Sus scrofa: one gene and its partners. The protein of the gene in region 2 binds, or shares a complex with, the protein of the main gene of each other region. Links are inferred from orthologs where the notes say so. Each region holds a gene or a part of one and is shown on either strand. Other genes may lie near its edges.

Region 1 (5,066 bases), on a different chromosome or scaffold from region 2:
GAAGTGAGAGAACCAGCAGGTGAGGGGGCAGGTGGAAATCACCCTAACCCTCCTCCCCCCGAGAAAGGTGAAGGGCACACACGGAACTTCAACAGAGTTAATTAACAGCTTCATTTTTTTCTTTTTAAACGAACATTCCCAGGCGAAGGGTCAAATCAGAGCTGCAGCTGCCAGCCTACACCAGAGCCACAGCCATGCAGACTCTGAAGCGTCTGAGACCTACACCACAACTTGCAGCAACACCAAACCCTTAACCCACTGAGCAAGGTCAGGAATCAAACCTGCATCCTCACAGAGACTGTTCGGGTGCTTAACCCCCTTGGCCACATCAGGAACTCCAGATCACAATTTAATTCTTGGTGATGGGCTCACAAATGAATGATTACTGATGACTAATAACTCACAGAGATTTTACATATGGACTTTTGTGTAGTCATATATCACATAATAAGGAAAATAAAAGTAACAGCATTTGAGCATACCAAACAAAGCAGCTACTCTCGTTCCCATCTATCCCTAACTTTCCTTGGCCTCCTCCCTCTTTAAAACACAGGAAGTGGCCCCAAAGCAGCAGCAAAGGGGAGCATCTGAGCATGAGGCCAGAGCCTTGCCTTCCTGCCCAAGTCAGTCTTCATCCCAAAGGCAATGGTGAGCCCTCAGAGAAGAGTAAGCCACCTATGAGCTGACTATGGAAGCCAGCAGCACAACTACAGCAGAAAGAACTCAGGATCTAGAATCAGAAGATCCAGTTTCAAATCCCAGCTTGCCTGTTCTAGTCTCTGAGAAATGACTTCTTGCTGAGTACCACAGTTTCCTGCAAGAAGGAAGAAAAGCTGTATCTATCTAGTTAAGTGGAAAATGGAAGAAGGCAAAAAACAGAAAGCAAGGTTCTTTCACTATTAGAATGATTGGACTGGAATTCCTGCTGTGGCGCAGTGGGTTAAGAATCCGACTGCAGTGGCTCAAGTTGCTGTAGAGGCACAGTTCGATCCCTAGCCCGGTGCAGTGGGTTAAGGATCCAGCACTGCAGCAGCTTGTCACAGCTGAGGCTCTGATTCAATCCCTGGCCCAGGAACTTCTGTAGATGGCTACTAAAAAAAATAAAAAATAAAAAAAATTTAAAAAGGGTTAATGGACTGACTGCCACAATCCCAAATACTTTTTTTTTTTTGTCTTTTGTCTTTGTTGTTGTTGTTGTTGTTATTGTTGCTATTTCTTGGGCCGCTCCCGCGGCATATGGAGGTTCCCAGACTAGGGGTTGAATCGGAGCTGTAGCCACCGGCCTACGCCAGAGCCACAGCAACGCTGGATCCGAGCCGTGTCTGCAACCTACACCACAGCTCACGGCAACGCCGGATCGTTAACCCACTGAGCAAGGGCAGGGATCGAACCCACAACCTCATGGTTCCTAGTCGGATTCGTTAACCACTGCGCCACGACGGGAACTCCCCCAAATACTTATTAAATATTTAAACTATCCCCAACTTTATGCTAGGGCTTAAGAGTCATACAAACAGAGGACATAGCCCCTGGCCTCAAGAAGCTGGCAACCTCACTAAAGACAAGCAAGAAACTTCTTAAAAGACAACAAAACAGGAGTTCTCATTGTGGCTCAGCAGTAAGGAACCCAACTAGTATCCGTAAGGATGGGGGTTCGATCCCTGGCCTCACTCAGTGGGTTAAGGATCTGGCACTGCCGTGAGCTGAGCTGTGGTGTAGGTTGCAGAAGTGGCTCCGATCCCGAGTTGCTCTGGCTGTGGTGTAGGCCAGCAGCTGCAACTCTGTTTGGACCCCTAGCCTGGGAATTTCCATATGCCGCGGGTTTGGCCTAAAAAAAAAAAAAAGACAATAAAACAAAAGTCGCTTGTCTGGGGTAACCAGAGGTCTTTCAGAAAGAAGGAAAGACTTCAGGGAAGGGAGAGGTTAAAGTGGGCAAGAGTCAGCAGGAAAAACATTCATGGGAAATAGAGGACCTAAACCAGGCTATAAAGACAGAGTAGGGTTCAGGTGGGGATAAGAGTGAGGAGACAGGTGGGGGCTTGTGATCTCTATGCAGGCCTCTACTGGCTGCCACTTCCTGAACCCGATAGGCTCTACACTCACCTCCCCCTGCACCCTCCTGACACCTGCTGCAAATTCACACCTTTCACATGCTAAATCCAATTCAAAACTTTTCAACCCTCACACAAAGACACCCAAAGCTGATGGGTCATTTTGCTCCTGAGCATACTCACTGTGATTATACACTAATTCATACTATGAGAGTCTGCAGGTGCTTTTACTGCCCCGAAAATATTCTGAAAGGCAACTAAGGTTTTTGGTCGCAGACCAGCAGCAGCACCACCGCCTGGGAACTGGTTAGAAATGCACATCCACCCCACCCTACACCTCCGGGGTCAGAAACTCTAGGGGTGGGGCCCATGGATCAGGGTGTTATCAGAGCCCTCCCTCCATCCCACCTTCCTCCTCTCCAGGGGATGCTATCACCAGTCAGTGCGAGAACTGCACATCTAAAGGCGCAGAGCCAGTCAGCAGCGGAACCGGAACTCCAGGCCTTCTGACCTACTTCCATCCTAGCCCACTGCCTGCCAAAGAGTGTATGGTTCCCCCTACTAGACTGTAGCTCCTTGAAAGTAAAGCTCTGATCAGAAAACAGAACCCAGGCCAGGGAATTTCACAGAAGTAGCATGTCATCCTCTATCTACACACAAGTGTCTTGTTTTACAAATGCTTTCACAACTGTTATCTCTTTTTGATTCTTGCCGCAAAAGATTCGACCCCTAGTCTGGGACCTTCCATATGCAGCAGGTGTGGTGCTAAAAAGAAGAAAAAAAACTGCAAAGTGCAAAAAGACTTCAACATGGAGTTCCTGTCATGGCTCAGTGGTTAATGAACCCAACTAGTATCCATGAGGACGCAGGTTCAATCCCTGGCCTTGCTCAGTGGGTTAAGGATCTGGCATTGCCATAAGCTGTGGTGTAGGTCACAGATGTGGTCCCATGTTGCTGTGGCTGTGGTGTAGGCTGGCAGCTACAGCTCTGATTCAACCCCTAGCCTGGGAACCTGCATATGCTGTGGGTGAGGCCCTAAAAATACAAAAGACCAAAAAAAAAAAAAAAAAAAAAGACTTCAACATAGGCCCAGTCTAAGAAATAAAGTCAAAAATTAATGAATTCTGGAGTTCCCGTCGTGGCGCAGTGGTTAACGAATCCGACTAGGAACCATGAGGTTGCAGGTTCAGTCCCTGCCCTTTCTCAGTGGGTTAACGATCCGGCGTTGCCGTGAGCTGTGGTGTAGGTTGCAGACGCGGCTTGGATCCCGCGTTGCTGTGGCTCTGGCGTAGGCCGGTGGCTACAGCTCCGATTCAACCCCTAGCCTGGGAACCTCCATATGCCGCGGGAGCGGCCCAAGAAATAGCAACAACAACAAAAAAGACAAAAAGACAAAAAAAAAAAAAAAAAATCAATGAATTCTGGAGTTCTTGTGGCTCAGTGGGTTAAGAACCCAACTAGTATCCATGAGGATGTGAGTTTGATCCCTGGCCTTGATCAGTGGGTTAAAGAATCTGGCATTGCTGCAAGCTGCGGCGTAGGCCAGGAGCTACAGCTCCAACTGACCCCTAATCCAGGAACTTCCACATGCCACAGGTACGGCCAGAAAAAGAAATGAAAAACAAAACAAACAAAAAACTAATGAATTCAGAAACACATTGGCCACATGCCCAAGAATACCACCCTTAGCAGAAGAACAGAAAGACTTCAATGAATGAATGTGAACGTCTGTTAAGTCCAAGCCAGGTTCCAGCCATCCCAGAGATCCATCGCTCACTGACCTTGGCTGCCAAGGGTAGAGGCAGCAGTGTGGTAGGTCTCACAGTCCACACAAAATGTTCCTTGCTTCTCTGCCCCAAGCATCTCCAATTTCCGGGTGAGTAGCTCCACAGTCTGCTGGACACTCTTGCCCTCGGCCACAGGCATCTGGGACACACTGGAAGGGAGGGGACCAAAATCATTATGCACATGGACTCACGTGAGCCAGTCGCAGGATCACAGCTCATCAGGGCCAGGTGTCAGCTTAGACACCGTCAACCCAACCCCCTCATAAAGACAAGGAAATAGAGGCCCACAGTCCCTGGGGCTCTGCTAAGAACCAGAGCTTGGTCTTAGGAGTCTCACACATTTGCAGAGAACAGCCTACTGCACCTGCATTTCCCAAGTGTGGCATGTGTGCCAATGTTTTAGGTGGCACACAGAGCGAGCATTCAGTGACACTAAGTCATGTGATGAGAAAGGAATTTACTCTGTGTTTCTTTCAGTTCTGACTCCATCAAGGAGAAAGCCTCCATTTGGGGTTACTGTGTTTTTACTAACTCTCTAACACTTTGAACGAAAGCTGTCCAGCACAGGAGCCACAAGCCATGTGCGACAGAAATGAAAACTTCAACTCTTCAGTTGCACTGCCCACATTTCAATAGCTCAATAGCCACAAGTGGCTAGGAACTGGTGTACCGGACAGTGACATAGAACATTTTCATCAATGAAGAAAGTTCTAAGGATCCTTGGATCAAAGAGAAAGCAAGCCTCAAGTTTCTAATCTTTGAGAGTGAGAGGCAACAAGAATTTAGCCAAAACAATGAGATAAAAAGTTATTTCCAAGATTTCCTTCTATGGAGAGTGCAACTGGCTTCTACTTTAAGTGGTAGGTAATAATTACCAAGCACCAACTATGAGCCAGGCAGTGCCCAAAGCCTTTAGATGAATTAACTTGCATCAGCCCTATAAGACACAGCATAATCATTTCTTCATTACAAATGAGAAAACTACTGAACAGAGAGGTTGAGTAACTGGCACAAGGTCATACTGCTTAATGCAGTGTAGTCAAGTGAGGTGGCTCCGTGTCCATGCTCTTAAATGCTCCACCGAAAGCTTTCCAAGTTCCCACTGTGGTTAAGGATCAGCATTGTCTCTGTGACGGCATGGGTTTGATACTGCCCTGGGGCAGTGGGTTAAGGAACTGACATTCCCACATTTGTGGCACAGCTTACAGCTGTGACTCAGATTCAGTCC
Region 2 (5,848 bases):
TCCCAGGCTAGGGGTCCAATCAGAGCTACAGCCGCTGGCCTACGCCACAGCCACAGCCACGCCAGATCCCAGGCGCCTCTGCAACCTACACCACAGCTCGCGGCAACAGCAGATCCTTAACCCAGAGCAAGGCCAGGGATCAAACCCGCATCCTCATGGATGCCAGTCGGGTTCCTAACCCACTGAGCCACGATGGGAACTCCCAGGTCTCACTTCTCATGGTGACGTCCTACTGCACATTCAGAACTTCCAGAAGAGCCGCCCAACAGCTGTGCTCTAAGTCCTCGTCTAAGGATTCAACTGCCCAAGTTGCACCCTCTGCCTCTTACCATGAGGTCTTCATCTCGGTCTGGGGACAGCACCAGAGGGATGATGACCTGGTTACGGAACAGCGGTGTCTTTTCATGCTTCAAGACTTTGTTCAGAGTGTTTAACTGTCCGGAAAGCAAGGCAAAGCTGTCCAGGACAGACGGCCTGGTGGTGGTAAGAAGGTGTCAGAACGTGCTCAGGAAAGTAGCCTCAAAGGGGTCTTTCAGATCCGGAATACCCAGACCCACCCCCAAAAGACTCACAGCCCTCTGGCTGCTCTGGATGGGAATCAGACTGGCTACAGCGATTATGGGGTTAAGAAAGAGGGACATACTTTCACTTTCTGACACAGATGGGAGAAAGAAGGCAGGGCATTACAACAGCAACCCCCAATCTGCAGTTTCACTTGCTGAGGTTCCATCTACCTGTGGTCAACCACAGTCCAAAAATACCATATGGCAAATTCCAGAGGTAAACAGTTTATAATTTTATTTTATTTTATTTTTGTCTTTTTGCTATTTCTTTGGGCCGCTCCCGCGGCATATGGAGCTTCCCAGGCTAGGGGTCCAATCGGAGCTGTAGCCACCGGCCATCACCAGAGCCACAGCAACTCGGGATCTGAGCCGCGTCTGCAACCTACACCACAGCTCACGGCAACGCCGGATCGTTAACCCACGGAGCAAGGGCAGGGACCGAACCCACAACCTCATGGTTCCTAGTCGGATTCGTTATCCACTGCGCCACGACGGGAACTCCATTTATAATTTTAAATTGGGCACTGTTCTGAGTAGTGTGATGGATTCTGGCTTCATCCTGCTCTGTCCCAGCTGGGATGTTAATCATTGCTTTGCCCAGCCTATCTTTGCTGGTACAATACCCATCCAGTTAGTAGTATATGCAGTACAGGGTTTGATACTATCAGTTTGAGGCACCCAGTGGGGGTCTTAAAACTTATCCCCCACCAATAAAGGGGGGCTGCTGTATTTGACTGGGGTGAGAACAGCGGCAAAACAGGAACCATAGCTCCACTGTTATCACTCAAACTTCAGAAACTAGCTAAAAGCCTCCTTTCCGACCTAAATATAGGATCTACATTTTCAAAGTAGACTGGACCTAAAAGACTCAGCCACGTCCAAGGCAAGAGATCCCATATGAATACTGAAGTGGGAGGACCTCCTCCCAGAGACATCAGAGGGTGAGAATCAAAAGCTAGAAAGACCCTGAGTTGGAAAACTGGGCATTTCTCTGCTTCCTTACCAGGGAGGCCCAAAGCCAACTTCAGTGTTACACGTTGGGAAACTCAGCTCTTTTTAAATCAAAAGATGTTTGCAAACTGATAAATGTTTACATCACTGGCAATGTCCTATCCACCTGGTGACCTGGCCCCCCCCACCCATGGAGCCCTCCCCAGCTTGCCCTGGCATTGCTTACCAGGTCAGCCGGTCATACTCGTTCTCCAACTTGTAAATGAAACTCCCCAGTGAGTTCTTCAGATCAGCCACTTGACTCAGGAGTGCATCTAATGATGCCTCAAGCTGCTTCTCCTCCCTCTGCACCAACAGGAATAGGATGTTACTCAGATGAGGGTGAGGGTGGTGCCCACAGAGGCGGGCTGAAAAGCCAGGATGACAGTGCGCAACACCAGTCATGTGACACAGGATCTCACTGGCACAGGGAGAGCCAGGCTGTTTTCTATCTTTGGTATCAGGGTTATAGACAGCACCAACCCTCAGACCTTTCAACCCACTCGCCTGGCCTAATTCCTCCTACCTGCTGGTTCCTTTCTCTCATCACCCCTAATCCGTGCTTGGTTTCCTATCACATACACTATACTCTCACTCACTGAGCAGACACAGCAGACCTAATGCCTCGGGGTCATTATCTCTTGTGCCACTCTGCAGCATAGGTACTCTGACTTCTGCTGTCCTAAACCTGCCTTGGGAGCCTGGCTGTTCCTGCCAATGACACAATTTCTGAAAAATCTACCTACATGTGAAGGTTCCTTTGAACACCTGCCACTGCCACCACCACGGCCATTTCCCCCTTTCCTCTGTCCTCAGCATTTGCTGTTTCAAGCTCTTTGCTGAATTAACCGGCACTCTTTTTTTTTTTTTTTTTTTTTTTTGGTCTTTTTGCCTTTTCTAGGGCTGCTCCTGTGGCATATGGAGGTTCCCAGGCTAGGGGTCTAATAGGAGCTGTAGCCACTGGCCTGCGCCAGAGCCACAGCAACGCCAGATCCGAGACTCATCTGCAACCTACACCACAGCTCATGGCAACGCCGGATCCTTAACCCACTGAGCGAGGCCAGGAATCGAACTCGCAATCTCATGGTTCCTAGTTGGATTCGTTAACCACTGAGCCACGACAGGAACTCCATTAACCTGCACTCATTTTATCTCTGTGCCAAAATTCCTGTGCCCCTTTCACAAGCTTAGTCAAGCTATAAAAATTTACTGACAGACTACCAGGTGCAAGAAACTGACAAATGAAAAACAAAAACAAAAATGCACATGCCCCTAAGTACTAAACTATTTTAAATGCTGGTGAGGGGTTGTCTGCCAAGCATTTCCTGTCCATCTTGGTTCTTCATCTTTACTTCATTTCATCCTTAACTACCACAGGGCACAGGCTAGGAAGGAGGTAGAACTGCCTTGCGAACTCGCCAATATACAAGACAGTAGCCTTGATTCCGGGTTCCAGCCACTGGCCTCAGACTATATTAGTTTGGCTTTTGTCACTGCGGCCCCACAATTCCTTCCACTCTCGGGCTTCTCTCCAGTTATCGATCCTCTGCTGTGTCGGCAGCCAACAGCGGCCATTCAACAGCCCGGGCCGGGACCTGAGCCAATGCGGCACCTTCTTGAGCTGTCTTCGTTGGACTGCATCTTAACCTTCCCAAACGACCGACCCTTTCCCACCCCCAGCAAGTCGGTGCCGCCTTCCCCCTCCCAACTCAGGGGCCGTCTCGGTCTCCCAGCCGGGCTCCACCCCCATCTGTCATCAGTGCCGCTCCCTCTCCAGTGGGCCTCGCCTCCATCCCGCGTCCCTTTAGCCGTCGGCCGATGACTCTACCCACTCCTCTCAGCTCCAGCTCCTCACTTTCTCCAGCCCACTCTCCGTCCCGGTACCCCGACGCTGAGTAGCGGTCACGAGCGCCAACCCGGTCCTCACCTGCATCGCGGGAGCAGAGGTTGCGTCAACCACTTCCTTTTCCGGTTTCCAAGTCAGCCAATCAGAAAGTTGGGATTCGATCCTCCCATTCGTTTCCGGTTCCTTCGGGCGAGAGGCAGCCGGGTCAGGGGTCACGAGCAGAAGGGCTTCTCTGGCCCGGGCCGGCGCGGGAGGGCTGTGTGATGGCCTCGGAGCGCCCGGAGCCGGAGGTGAGGGGCGGGCGGGCGCAGCGCTGGTCCCCGAGATCCGCGGGGGAGGGGCCGGCGGCCGGGTGCGGCCGTGGCCTCCTCCGGGTCTGGGGGCGGCGGGGGTCGCCCCGAAGGCCCGGCAGTTGCATCTCCTCACCCCGCGGTCCGCACTTTCCTTGGGGGGCTGGAGGAGAAGCTCGTCGCTCTGTTCTGTTTGCTCAGATTTCATTCACGTCGCCAACTCTGGGGCCCTCGGGTTCTCCGACTTCCTAATGGTATTAACAAAGCCTTTATTTTGATTTTGCAATTTGATTTTACTTTGCTGGTGCTTCATATCTTCACGTATTAGAATGACATAATCAGCATGAATTAATTTAGTTCCAGCGCCATGATTTTGAAAGGCAGCTTCGGTTTCGTGGGGAAAATACATATATAGATTCTTTTTTGATTCGGAGTGAAACGTCGTTCACTTCGTTTGGTGCTGCCCTGTAGCCATCTCTGCAACTTCGGGCAAGGCTTGACTGTTTCCTGCTTCTTAAACACCTGTCTTAGGGTGTTTTGTGAGGATCCCATATTTTAAACCAGAAAATGCACATGAGGTATCCCTTAGTTGTTGAGGACCATGCAAGGAACTTGATCTGCATTGTGTTATTCAGACTTGTGCAAGGAAGGTGGCTGTGTCCACTTTCATTTATATGTAAGACACTGGAAAGTGAGAGACGTTAAGTACCTTACCCAAGTGCTACCCTCAGCCAGGGAGTAGCAAAGTTTTGAAGTTAGAAGATCTGGTTTGAAAAGAACATCACCAGGAAAGGTGCCCAGTATTAGAATATGATAGACGGGAAGGGTGAGAGACGTGTGAAATGAAATGACACAAAAGAGTTGTCATAACATATCGAATGCGTGCCGCGTCGTCCTGCTTTACCCCATCAGTTGATACCCTCAACCCGAAGAAGCAGACGTGATTATTTATCCCCATTTTTCAGTTGAGGAGACGGAGGCACAAAATGTTAAGGGTAACAAAGTTACACAGCTAGTTAAGTAGCGGAGCTAAGACTCCCAAACAGGTGGTCTGCTGTAGTATGGTGGTCATAATGTTTCCAGTATAAGCAGTACAGTTGCCACAGGATGGTAAATCTCCTGATCCTTGGCATGTGATGTAACAAGACCCAGGATTAAACGTGGTTGTAGGAAACTACCCTATTTAAAAGAATCAATGGCGGAGTAGCCTATGCATCAGAAATAGCAGTAATAAGAAAAATCCATGAAGGAATGTGGAGTATGTTTTGTTATGGATTAAAATGAGAGGACATGGAGCGATGTCGTAGTGAAATACAGCATACCTTTTAGACATAATCTAAAACAGCATTGTCTAATAGCAGTCTGGTGCAAGCCAAATATATGTGAGTTTTCTGGTAGCCACATTTAGAAAGGTAAAAAGAAACAGGTAAAAGTAATTTTAATATATTTGATTTGACCCCATATTCCCCCAGTGTCATCATTTTTCAAAACATTTAAAAACACATGAGATATTTAACATTCTTTTTTTTGTACCAAGTCTTTAAAACCCGGAGTGTATTTTATACTTAGAGCGTATCTCACTTTGGACTTGCAACATTTCAAGTGCTGGGTAACCTCGTATGGCAGTGGGTACCATATTGAGCACTGCAAACCTAAAGTAACTTGGCATCAAAACATATACTCCTGGAAGTCTCACTCGGTCTGAAATTCATTTGTCAAGTTCTTGATTTGCATTTCTGAAAATTTTATCTCAGAAGCTAAAGGGACTAAAGAGTTCTGCCCTAGGCAGTGACTGATTGTTAGAAGTTATTACAACCCCAAGAGAGAAAGTTTGGGCGTAGTCAGATTTAAGAAGTCATTCATTCCTCACATACTTAAATTATTTTATGTATGCTGCTCTGGGCTCAGAATTGTGCTAAGTATCAGGGTGGATTCAGAGCAGGGTAAGACACATTCCCTATTTAATGGAATGAATGAACAATGAATTATGATAATAAGTGCCTCGAAGAAAGAGTACAGAGTGAACCGAGTGTTTAACAGGGGTTCTTAACCTACTTTTGTTAAGTGGTGGGGGTGGATCAGAGAGCCTTCTCTGAGGAATGACGTTTAAGCCTGAAGAAGGAGCAGGAGGTGTCCTTGAGAAGAGGCCGAGCGCATTA
Region 3 (4,855 bases), on a different chromosome or scaffold from region 2:
CCTACACTACTTAAATATGGAACAGTGAGTATCTTTCTTTAACTGTGCTGGGGATACAATTCACCCTATCAACTCTTTTAACTTGTTCTGGATTCAAATTTGAAAAGACCTTGACATTTCATCCCAAATATCATATTGCTCTTTAGCATGGATTCATAGCACAAAAGCTGTCTATCCCTATGGCCAGTCCCAATAAATTATTAATAATGCAAATATTAGCTCTTTCAGTGCTTTCTTAAAAGCCATTCTTTTTTGTTTGTTTGGCTGGGGTTTTGTTTTTGTTTTTGCATTTTAGTGCTGCACCTGTGGCATATGGGAAGCTCCCAGGCTGGGGATCGAAACGGAGCTACAGCTGCCAGCCACAGCCATGCCAGATCCAAGTCACATTGGATTTCTACACCACAGCTCACAGCAATGCCAGATCCTTAACCAACTGAATGAGGCCAGGGATCGAACCTACATCCTCATGGATCCTAGTCAGGTTTGTTAACCGCTGAGCCACGAAGGGAACTCCCAAGCCATTCTTATTTTTAAATTCGGTAGGCACTGCTGAACAAAGTTGGTTAACATATAATCCCTTAAAAGAGTGCCATCAATGTTGCTTTCTCTTTAATCCATAATTCTTGATGAAAGGGCACCTCTAGTTAAGTCATGACCCTGGAATTCTGAATTGAAGAATTAAGGGAAAGGGGGGACACTGGGCTTGCTGTCTCCTGTTTTAGTCCAGGGAGCCAAGAATTTTAATGATTTACCTTAAAGCAAATACCTTAACTATTTCATAAAATGTGTTACAACTAGTTGATAATTTCTGTTCCAAGATCTGTGTCATTCAAGGCAGAACTCATTCCCCTCCTAATAACATTTTTGTAGTGATGGGTTAAAATAAGACTGTTCTTCTTTTACAGCCTCAAAAACTGGTAGAATCTGAGTGTCTTCAGACCAACCTCGTGGAGATGTTGTTCTCTGAAGAGTAAGATTTGATGATGGCAATTGTGTCTTGATTTCCTGATTTGCTCTAGTATAAAAGAAACTGCACACTTGCTTTGAATTCATGTTAGCAATAAATAAATGATGATTAAAAGAAAAACTGTGTATGTCTAAATAATAGAGAGTACAATTAAAATGCTCATGAACCCTTAGTCTGCTTTAATATATGGATATGTTTGAACTAAGGATAAACTAAGTCTTCAGGAGTAGCAGTAGTAGCCCAAAGGGGAGGATATTATTGGAGATGGGCAGAAATATCTAAAAGCCGCTGATAGTGAAGAAGATAGTTTCCAGACTTCTAAAGAAGTTAGGATCTTTTACTTTAAATTCCATGAACTTACAAAAGAACTGTTATCCTAAAACATCTTTGGCTTTAGAATGTAGAACTTAATCTAACCACTGAAGGATAGCAAGGCACATCTAATCCAGCCCCTGCTTTTGTTTTACAGCTGTCTGATTGTGCGGGATGAGGCAGGTGGCGGAGAGGTCAGAAGCCATACAACCTAGTGGTGGGAGGCCATATAACCTAGCCTTTTAGCCAGTCTCACTGACTATCACCTACTAGCTGTGTAACCACAGGCAAGGTTCCTAACTTGTCTACACCTAAGTGTTCTCCTTTATGAACAAGGACTGTTCTAAGGATAAAATGAGAATGCAACTAAGCACTTAACATAGTGCCTGGTTTGTGGTATCTGCCAAAAAAAAAAAGTTAGCTTTCCCAAATGAGCACAAGTATCTGAGGCACCTCACCTTTGTTATAGTCTAAGGTCGAGAGTCCTATTAGTAATTAACCACAAACACTCCCTGACCTCAATTCTCCCTTAAGGCTCTCCTGCAAAGTAGCTGGTGCTCCAGGTATGCCTCCTGCCCTGCAGAATGTAGGAAATTTATGCAGTTCCTGCTTTGATGTGTAGAGGTCACTGATTCCACTTCTCTCACTCCTTAGAAGGGTGCCGTAGCTGATCTGAGGGGACAGCAAGGTTCCTAGAGACAGATTTGCCCCTGGTCCCACTGTTCATCATGAACAGTTTTGCTTAAACTTTGGGATATTTGGTGGCTCTCCCCTTGCCCCAGCTCCCCAACTCTAAAATTGGTCTGAAGCACCTAACATTTCTACTCTTAGTCAGTTGACTATTAAATACTAATGAAAGCTTACAGATCCACAGAGAAAGAACAATTCTAGTTTAAAAGAAATAATCTATTGAGAATAAAAAATTAGTTCAATTAAATAGCACACTATCGGTTCTGGGTGCTGTCACAATAAAGGTTCGGAGCAAGAGTCTTTTTCTGTCTTCATGTACAAAAGCAATATATACATGTCGTAAGAGCCTGGTCTGGATCAGCTTTTCACTTTCCTGATGTGTTATTTTGCTGTTGCTGCTCTGCCAGGGCTTGCTGAAGGCGCATCCGCTTCCGGGAATAGTGCTGCCAATGCAGAATTTGCTGCTCATCAATGAATTTTGCACATTGAGCATTCACCAGCTCCTTGCGGAAGTGTTCATATTGGAGCAGTTCTAACATGTGTAAACACTGAGGGTACCTGGGGTTAAGTTTATAAGTTAATTATCAACATAATTAAGTCAATAACACCATGCTCTAGTTGTTATTCAAAAACGATCCTGCAGCCTACCATTTCTACGGTATCATTTGTGTTACCATACCAGATGATCCTGCAACCTAACATTAACTTAGTCTATCTTGATAGTACAGTTCTTTTTTTTTTTTTTTTGCTTATACAGAAAAGCTTATCATCAAAAGCCAGCAAAATTTTCAAAAGTGAGCAAACTTAAATTTAGAAAGATTAAATAACTTGCCTAAGACTACACAATAACTGGTAAACAGTCAACATTTGGGGGCAAATCATGCTATTCTATTCCAGTGGTTTTCAAGGTGATAAACATGAACACTATTTATTTTAGTAATTGTGGGTTTAATTAACACCTATTGGTTTTCCATAAATAATGATAAAAAGACAGCTTTTATTTTAAAAGTGAGTCAGTTTCAGAAAGAACTATGCACAAATATTGTATCCTAGTTTTCCATAGGGATATAACAATTTTGAAATTATGTACATATATGCTAAGATTGAGCAAATACATAAGTATGTACACTGTAAATAGCCAAATATCCAGCTCTCAGGAAAGGAATCTCAGATAAGGAAGGGGGGAGGCTAGAAAGAATCCTGTTGTTGAGCTGGAATTGAAAACATCAGTATGAACTGAGTGGCTTTTAACATATAGAGACAGATACAGAAATAGACACATAGACACACACACACACACACACACACACACACACACACACACACACACACACACTGTTCCTTGCTTTACGTGCAGAGAAGGCCTAGAAGCAATGGCACTCCAGTACCAAGAGTACACTGAGTATCCAGGTCGTGGGTTTTAAATAGCATTATCCAGGGTTTGTTGGCATAGCTAACACAGGGAAAGAACAAGATGAGCCTGGAATATATGTAGTGCCAGAAAGGAAAATGCTCTAAAGATTAGGCGGCTATGTCAAAAGTCCTCAAGAGCCAATTTGAAGGGGTTCCCACTGGCTACATCTGGGATCACTAGCATAAGAAAATAAAAAATTACAATCCACAAGATAAAGAATCCATATTGATTTAACCTTTTAAAATGAAGAAAGAAATCAGAAACAAGGAAACGTTCCTTCAAGTGAATTCCAACTAATAAATGAACAGAGAATGATGGAATCAAGAATATCACCACAGGAGGTCCCGTTGTGGCACAGTGGCTAACAAATCCGACTAGGAACCATGAGGTTGCGGGTTTGATCCCTGGCCTCGCTCAGTGGGTTAAGGATCCGGTGTTGCCAGGGGGGTGAGCTGTAGTGTAGGTCGCAGACACAGCTCGGATCCCGCGTTGCTGTGGCTGTGGTGTAGGTCGAGGCTACAGCTCCAATTAGACCCCTAGCCTGGGAACCTCCATATGCTGCAGGTATGGGTGTGAAAAGACAAAAAAAGAAAAAAAAAAGGCATCACCACAGAGGAGTTCCCATCGTGGCTCAATGGTTAACGAACCCAACTAGCATCCATGAGGACTCAGATTCGACCCCCGGCCTCACTCAATGGGTTAAGGATCCAGTGTTGCCATGAGCTGTAGTGTAGGTTGTAGACACAGCTTGGATCCCATGTTGCTGTGGCTGTGGTGTGGGCTGGTGGCTATAACTCCAATTTGACCCTGAGCCTGGGAACCTCCATATGCCGTGGGTGCGGCCCTAAAAAGACAAAAAACAAAGCATGTCACCACAGTAAAAACTGTCTCAAGCAAGTAAGTATCTTCAGTAAATGCTAAAGTTAGTGGGTAAAAGAATGAAATATGAAACAAGAAATTCCTACAGACTCAAAGTATTTCCTCACAAGATACATATTAAATACAAAAGGAAAAATAGTACTTGATATGGATAAAAATAACAGCCACCACCTCAACCAAGTGATCAAAATTAATATCACCAGTCATAGAATGAAGTGACTGCCTGTGACTCCTGACATACCAAGAAGGATATAACATCATTTCTGTGTCACTTATGGAGGGGAAAAAAAAAAGAAGACTTAAAACTCATATTAATGGAGACTAAGAAGACATGACAACAAAATGCAGCATCTGAGCCTAGACTGGATACTACACCAGACACAGGATATTGGTGAGACAGCTGGCAAAATGTGAATGAGGTCTGTTGGTTAGAATATACAGAAATTCTATTATTTCCAGTTGTTTTTAGGTGAAATTATTTCAAGTGGAAGGGTGGGGGTGGGGGTGGGGGTGGGGGTGGGGGTGGGGTAGGGATACCAGTGAGATTACTGCAATAATCCAAGTTAATTTAGAAACAAGTGTTTCATATTAAA

The links. Proteins that work in one complex are often made in the same cells at the same time.
Region 1: MED8 (region 2) and MED20 share a complex: the UniProt entries of both Homo sapiens proteins name them as parts of the mediator complex. The link is inferred for Sus scrofa from reciprocal best matches to the Homo sapiens genes MED8 and MED20.
Region 3: MED8 (region 2) and MED31 share a complex: the UniProt entries of both Homo sapiens proteins name them as parts of the mediator complex. The link is inferred for Sus scrofa from reciprocal best matches to the Homo sapiens genes MED8 and MED31.

The regions. Positions count from the first base shown.
Region 1 is NC_010449.5:37,066,865-37,071,930, forward strand, and holds part of MED20 (mediator of RNA polymerase II transcription subunit 20), read right to left. Parts: intron 3,988-5,066; coding exon 3,833-3,987; intron 1-3,832. UniProt on the Homo sapiens protein: Component of the Mediator complex, a coactivator involved in the regulated transcription of nearly all RNA polymerase II-dependent genes.
Region 2 is NC_010448.4:167,859,032-167,864,879, reverse strand, and holds the start of MED8 (mediator of RNA polymerase II transcription subunit 8), read right to left. Parts: upstream 3,518-5,848; 5' UTR 3,487-3,517; coding exon 3,409-3,486; exon of another isoform or gene 3,347-3,408; coding exon of another isoform or gene 3,341-3,346; intron 1,860-3,340; coding exon 1,741-1,859; intron 475-1,740; coding exon 330-474; intron 1-329. Other genes in the region: protein SZT2, read left to right, coding at 3,663-3,689. UniProt on the Homo sapiens protein: Component of the Mediator complex, a coactivator involved in the regulated transcription of nearly all RNA polymerase II-dependent genes.
Region 3 is NC_010454.4:50,730,901-50,735,755, reverse strand, and holds the end of MED31 (mediator of RNA polymerase II transcription subunit 31), read right to left. Parts: intron 2,528-4,855; coding exon 2,335-2,527; 3' UTR 1,287-2,334; downstream 1-1,286. Other genes in the region: TXNDC17 (thioredoxin domain-containing protein 17), read left to right, coding at 1-24, 906-974. UniProt on the Homo sapiens protein: Component of the Mediator complex, a coactivator involved in the regulated transcription of nearly all RNA polymerase II-dependent genes.